Nothobranchius furzeri: one gene and its partner. The protein of the gene in region 1 purifies or fractionates together with the protein of each later gene. This does not show direct contact. Links are inferred from orthologs where the notes say so. Each region holds a gene or a part of one and is shown on either strand. Other genes may lie near its edges.

The links.
Region 2: the proteins of vapal (region 1) and vdac1 fractionate together in Homo sapiens (co-fractionation; 3 studies listed by BioGRID and IntAct, with this or other methods). This does not show direct contact. The link is inferred for Nothobranchius furzeri from reciprocal best matches to the Homo sapiens genes VAPA and VDAC1.

Annotation. Positions count from the first base shown.
Region 1 is NC_091751.1:42,874,818-42,878,583, reverse strand, and holds part of vapal (VAMP (vesicle-associated membrane protein)-associated protein A, like), read right to left. Parts: intron 2,097-3,766; coding exon 1,944-2,096; intron 1-1,943. UniProt on the Homo sapiens protein: Endoplasmic reticulum (ER)-anchored protein that mediates the formation of contact sites between the ER and endosomes via interaction with FFAT motif-containing proteins such as STARD3 or WDR44.
Region 2 is NC_091750.1:59,851,111-59,854,876, reverse strand, and holds part of vdac1 (non-selective voltage-gated ion channel VDAC1), read left to right. Parts: intron 1-1,028; coding exon 1,029-1,181; intron 1,182-1,294; coding exon 1,295-1,347; intron 1,348-1,465; coding exon 1,466-1,693; intron 1,694-2,696; coding exon 2,697-2,847; intron 2,848-3,572; coding exon 3,573-3,630; intron 3,631-3,766. UniProt on the Homo sapiens protein: Non-selective voltage-gated ion channel that mediates the transport of anions and cations through the mitochondrion outer membrane and plasma membrane.

The DNA.
Region 1 (3,766 bases):
TGCTCCGTCTCTATAGCAGATGTAGAAAATCACCGGGAGCGTTTCTCCCTTCATAAAGGAGCTTCTTTCAGACATTAGGAGAGCTGTTTTGGTGGTAGCAGTCTCTCCTCCGAGCTGGTCTGTTTGCTGCTGGGTGTTTTTGGTTTATTTAAACTTGGCAACTTAACGTTGGTAAAGCTACTGTTAGCATTTTCGCTAACAGCTTCTTGCGTTTGGATAAGCTGTTACGTTTTGGTTTAGAGTTCATCTTTTTACAATCCAATCCAATCCAATTTTATTTATAAAGCGCATTCACAAGGCATTACAACCAAACAAGGCGCTGTACACTAGAAATGTTGGTTAATTAAACAAGCGATATTTAAACATGTTGAACACATATAAAAAATAATAATTTGTGGTACAAATTAATAAATGTCTAAATGTAATAAAATCTCCCTTTTGTTACATTTAGAGTGTTTTGGGTTTTCGGTTTAGTTTAAAATATCACCTTGAGGTTGGTTTAACCGCCCAGTTTAGAGTTTGGAACTTTGGAGATTCTTATTTTGGTCCAAAACCCTGTAATCTTTGCACAGTGGGACATCCCTAGTTATCTGTACTTTTGTTTTAATTCCCCACAGGCAGAATTAGTTTTATTACTCCCAACCTGTGGATGGAAAGATTTGGTTTTTTGTAGTTGTAAATAAACCCGATCATCATTTTAACTTTTAAATCCCATATTATTGTCCCTTCCTTTTTGCACACGAGCCAAACTCCCCAGGAAGAGTCGTAACACCACTCGCCTCACGCACATAAGTGACCAAGACGAAGCAGCATGGAGACACTCCGTCTCCAACCACCTCTCAGGCAGCAGCCTGTACTCCCAAGTTCTACACGTCACCAGAACATAACCAACCAACACAATAAAAGCAGTGTTATACAAAATGGGAGGCCTGTAGTGTTTATTCTCTTACAGTAACAATTAATCAATTTTTTGGAGGAATTTATTAGAGATTTTTTGGTTTTTATTAACTGTGCAATAGAAAAATAATCATTAGATTAATTGTATAAATAGTCATTAGAATAGTCGACTATTCGATAAAATAATCGTCAGAATAATCGTTTTAAAAATAATCGTTTACCCCCAGCCCTAATTTCTATATATTCTGCGGACACTGTGCGACTTTTTCGTTTGTAGCGCTCAGTTTCAGCTCACACCGTACGTCTGCTAGCAACACGCCGGACTTAAAATGTGCTAAAAATAGCAGTTTTTACACAACACGTCGGACTTTTTACTGTGTTGTTATTGATATTTGTTGTCCCTCGGGGTTGCTGCAGGGACACGGGTATTTATGAGTGGCGGAGGAAAACAAGAAAGTAAATAAATGTTTTGTGATCTGTGTAATTGGACATAACCACGGCAAACATGCTTTCTCGACAATCCTTGTTATTGTGTGAGAAAAAAAGTGTAGAAATTAAAACGGACGTGTGTTAATAGGGAAACAGCTGGCGAGCTGTTTGCGCAAGCGCCGTGAGCGGTTCTGGTTCTGTTTGGGCCACAGCCGCTCGCAGCGCTACTTCAACAGTTATTCTCCTAGTTTTTGTCTGGCTTGCAGGCTAGCAGATTCTCGCATGAGGGGGAAATCGGCTCAGGTTGTTTACTTATGTTTTGCACAGACATTTGTTTACTGTGAAGTAAAGTTGAAGTGCTGAAGTTTTGCAAACTAATTTTGAATAAAACTTGAAGAATAACTGGCAATTGCGTGCTCATTTTAAGAGGTCTTTCATAATTATAACATGTTATTTGATATAATGGTTTACAAACACAAAAGGGTAATTTATTAGAGTACTCGATTAATCGAAAAAAAGATTTGATAGAGTACTCGATTACAAAAATATTCGATAGCTGCAGCCCTAGTTTTATGCGATCAAGATAACAAAAGCTAAAACAGCTGTAAAAAGCTTACCAGAGATGTTGACGGTTGCACCAGCATCGATGACTCCACTATTTGGCCGTACGCAGTACCTTCGTGGAGCTGTTGTCTTGACTTTGAAACACACTCTTCTCTCAGAGGGATTCTTCAATTTGAGGTTACTGGTAACTACATCTGTAAAAGGACCTGGTGCACAGAAAACAGCGAACACAAGGGCATCACTGTTTAAGCACACTGTGGAAGACCGAGTAAAAAACATCCCTGAAAACTAAAACAATCTGTTACATAAATCACTAAAGAATAAACAATTTTCTTTGATTTGTGTCACATGTAAAAGGCGAACCAAATGAATGACCGGTGTATTGTATATTACTAAAGTCAAAACCGTAGAAACTCAACATCTGTGGATGCACCACCCTCCTAGGAAAAACAGCAGGTCTGTGATGTTTGTAGCTGAGATTTAATGAAGACTTTAGGCTTTGAAAAGATCAGTAGAGAAACAGTAAAGGGCAATTCAATTTGAACTGTGATTGAAAACCTAATTGAATGGTGGGTTGGAAAGCAACTTCTCAGGACAACTCTAACCTCTATAGCTAACAAAAAAAGCTAAGCTCTGCCTAGATTAAACAATTACATTAAAAGCTATGACATAAAGTTAAAGAATATTACTATGTAAAATTTGAGATGCACAAAAACCTTTAAGACTTATCCCTGCATCAGTTTCCAGAAGCAAACCAACAAACCACCTGAATTGATTATGCTTACTTCCAGACAGATAATTTCATATAGAGGTCCCATGATGATATCAAGGCCTTTCCAAGTCAGGTCATACATCAGGAGAGCGGTGGTTGCATAACAGGTATCCACCTTGTGACGGGCCTGGCTTCAAATTAAGTCCTTAGCTGTGGTCAGCACTAGCAGCTTTGATCGTCTATGCCATGTCAAAAACAAAACCTGCTGCCAAGTCAGACGCACCTTCAACTTCAAGTAAACAATTAGCCTGGGAGTCAGAACATGTCTCATGACGCTGGAATTCTTTAAAATGGTTCAAAAGTTTATTTTTTATAGCAAAATAATGACAGAATTTCTGTAAACTGACCAGCCTCTAGAATAAGAATATTAAAACATTAAGATCAGGCACATTTATTAATAACTAATCCCAGTTTTTGCAATCCTCATAAACTTCTACTTGTTTACTAAAAAAAAATCAGGCAGGGTGATAAATTATTTCTAATCCAATTTTATATCAAATGAAAACAGTAATATTAGATTAAATGAAACCATTATTCACTTTGTAGTAAACCCAGAGCATCGTCCTCCTGTGCAACGGTGCATAGAAAGATAAATAGGCCAGGTTTATTTATGCAAACCTTGCAGATCTTTTAATCCAGTGTGAACATAAAGAGAAAATATGATTTGTCTAGAGCTGTGGACATCAACTGGTGGCCCGCGGGCCACACCTGGCCCATCAGACCTTTCCGCCCAGCTTCCCCATCATTACTGAATCAGGAAGAGAAAATGGATGTTCTACTTTTTTCTGTAATAAATTAAACAAACTGAAAAACAGCCTTTAATCAGAAATCACTATAAACTCAGGTCTTATTCAACATTTTTTATTTATTCTGCAGCAGTTTTTAGAATCTCTGTTTTTGCGCTTTCCTCTAAAATAGTGTATAATTGCGATTTCTTGACAAAAAAACACTCAACGGAAGAAAGCAACATGTACAAGATTCCTATTTGGGAAGCAGTTCTGCTCTCCATCTGTTTTTATAGGACCATAGCGTTTTCAAAACGGGATTTGCCGCGGCACCCTGGGGAGGATTTTGGCATTTATAGTAGCAAAGATGAAGCTAGAA
Region 2 (3,766 bases), on another chromosome or scaffold:
CTGTAACACTGATGCATCAGTCTCAGGCATCATGGAGCTCAGGTGTTATTAGAACTACCTGTGTGTGTTTACCACCCAGCTGCAGCTCTTCTGTGGTTGGGTCTGACCCAAGTTAGTAAATGTGAGTCCTCCATCAGATTTGTGCCTCTTCTAGTGTCATTTTAAAGGATTTTATTTATTTATTTATTTAACCGTTACTAGATTAGCAGCAACAGAAATGCTACTAAAAACACACAATTATGTGAAGCTGGAAAAATTAAAATGCTGTGCAAAATTACATTCATTTCTGTAATTTAACTAGACTGAGAGACCATTTAAAGGCCTGGGAACCTTTACAGGTGTTTCTATTTGCAATTTTAAATTTTAGCTGATTGGGGTCTTGTTAAATATCACACCGTGACCTTTTATTAGTCTAGATAAGTGTAATGTTCCTATTTGTAGTTCCTCCTGTTAAGTGCCTATTTAAATTATTCAGGTTTATAAAAAACATTTAGACATACATTTTATTATGTTCCAGTCATTAGTCATTTATATTTCACTATTGTAGCAATTTATAGTAAATTAAGTTCAATTAACCCATTTTTCTTGCATCCTTTAATGAAAAAAGTAACTAAGTAGTTATTTTTCTTGGTAATTAGTTACTTTTATAATCTCTTAACTCAGTAACTGAGTTACTTTTTTGACAAAGTAATTAGTAACTAAAACTAATTACTTTTTAAAAGTACCTTTCCTAACACTGGTTAATTGCATTTTAACTACAAACCTTTGAAATAACAAAACAAATATGTCTGTATAATCTTAGTACTGCACGTTTGATGTCAAATGAAAATGTCATTGCACATTAGTGGTTCTAGACATCTGAAATTAAAGCGTTGGCCTTTTTTATTTTTAGTAACTTCTTTATTCCCAGCTAATTTAATATCTTATTTTAATGCTTTGGTTGAGAAACAGTAACAGGAGGTTTTGACTTTTTAAGCACTGAGCTTGTAGGTATTTGTGCAGGAATGATGGGTTATCATGTTCTGCAGGAGTTTGCCAGCGCATGCTCTGCCAACACTGAGACAAGCAAGGTCGGCGGGTCGTTGGAGACCAAATACAAGTGGTCTGAGCATGGACTCACCTTCACAGAGAAATGGAACACGGACAACACTCTGGGGACGGAGATCACCGTTGAGGACCAGGTGATGTGGTGAAAATGGATTAGGAGTTTCCAAACAGTGATTTGTATTATAGTTTTTCTGTCTACACTGTGGCACATTCTCAGTTTTGGCTTCATTTCCTGTTTGTCCGACAGTTGACTAAAGGGCTGAAGCTTACGTTTGAGTCCTCTTTCTCTCCAAATACTGGGTAATGACTTTAGTCACAACTATTCTAACGGCGAATCCATCCTTTAAGTACATTATCATGAAGGGTTGAGTTATTATTTATTTATTTTTGTTCTTTTGTACCCCAAACATGCCACCAGCAAGAAAGGTGGCAAGTTCAAGACAGGCTACAAGTGTGAACACATCAACCTGGGCTGCGACGTCAACTATGACATTAACGGTACAGCCATTCACGGCGCTGGCGTGATATGCTACGAGGGCTGGCTCGCCGGTTACCAGACGACCTTTGAGGCCGGCAGGAACAAGATCACCCAGAGCAACTTTGCTGTTGGATACAAGACCGATGAGTTCCAGCTGCATACAAATGTGTAAGATGCAGCATGTTCAACCACCAGCACACGTGTGCACAATACATAATGCATTTTTAAACTGCATACAGGCTTTTCTATAACTTTGGTTTGAAGTTTCTCCTTGCTGCCCGTTCAGCTTTCTGTCAAATGCCAGGGTTTTTTACTCTTCATAGTGATGATAGGAGATAGAAGTGGTTTGCTGTGAAAGGACAGAGGGGTGTGGTGTCAGACAGGGAGCGGAACGGATTGGGGCTTGTTCCTGCTGTGCCCCCCAGGTAAAGCCTGTCAGTTACAGTCTGCAGCAGAAGCGGTAATGTGAGGTCAGACAAAGGTTAACGTAGGCTTTTCATGAGGCTGAACACTTCAGTTGGATGTGCCATCACTGATGGAAGCAGGACCGATATGCACATTCTAAGATTTTGGAGCTTCATATTAGGGATGTAAGAGAATATCGATATGGCAATATATCGTGATATTTTCCCAGCAATATTATATCGATATTCAAAAGCAGTGTATTGGAAATATCGATATGGCAATATATCGTGATATTTTTTCCTGCGATTATTACATCGATATTCAAAAGCCGTGTATCTAATTCCTGAAAGAATTTACATGCAAACATTTGTGTATTTTCTTTTCGTTTTGCGCAATTCAATCGCCAACTGCTAGTTGGCAGCAGTGTGCAGCGGGTTTTGTTTCCACCATTGAAATGTAAATCCCTCCATCATGGTTTAGATACCTCATGTTAAACATGTTACGTATCAGTTTGAACTGTTTATTGAACATTCTTACAATAAGTTCAGTAAAAATAATTGCTTGTAACGTTTGACTGAATGTATCGCAATATATCGTGATATATCGTATAATTTCCCCTGTATCGTGATATGTATCGTATCGCCAGAATTTCAAAAACACACATCCCTACTTCATATATATATTTTTTAAGCTTGCATGATCATTCCAAATAACATATCTGTATCATAATCTAATAACATTAGTCACAAACGGCTGTGTTTCACAGAAATGATGGCACAGAGTTTGGTGGTTCCATCTACCAGAAGGTGAATGAAAAGCTGGAGACAGCTGTGAACCTGGCCTGGACTGCTGGAAACAGCAACACCCGCTTTGGAATTGCTGCCAAGTATCAAATCGATCCCGATGCATCTTTCTCCGTGAGTAGCCTGTCTTTGAAGTGGCAGTAGCAATGGCGATGCAGTCCACCCCTAACCCTATTAACAAGTTGAATTAAAGTGCACCACAGTTTGTAGGTCTAGTGGTGTCTGGGTCCCATGCTGGGTGAGACGACTGTAAGCTTCAACTTCATTCAAGTAAAACAGCCCTTTGCTAATTTTGGCCTGTTCATCACATTAGTGGTAAATCCCCCTTGTAGCCAAGCCCATTAGTGTGACTGGTTGATTACTGGGGCCGTATTGGACTGACGTTGTATTCGTTTTTATCTGTTTACTGGTATTAATTCAAATTGCAACTAAATAATAGAAATTAATGAAAATATTTTAATAAATGTAGGAATTAGAGCTGTAGCTCTCTTAAAGCCTTTCACGTTTTAATCAAAGTTCTTTACAAACAGATGATTTTTTTAACTGTTTTGAAAGAAGATAAGAAGCTTTAGAATATATTTAATGTTGGCATTTACATAAAAAATCTGTTTTTAGCCCAAAACATTCTTTAAAAGAAGCTTTTAGGTGATAAATGTCATCACCATTGTGGAAAAACATAAAAAAAAATTGCCAGCAGTTCTCATGGAATAAAGTGTTGAAAGCCTGGTGTAGCATGATGTCAGAGGAAGCCCTTTGCTTGGTGACATCTATGGGATCCAGGCTTTAGGCCATCATGGCCTTCAGTAGATTCTCTACTTTAATGATCAATCTTTTCACAGGCTAAGGTGAACAACTCCAGCCTTGTGGGACTGGGCTACACTCAGACTCTGAAGCCAGGTGAGTTGGTCATTTAAAGACAATACGCCTAAATGCACTGAGTTCACACCGATCAATGTTTTATTGTAGGGATGCACCTATATGACAGTTTAGGCTACAATCATACTGATATTATTTCCAGTACCGGAAGTTGAGG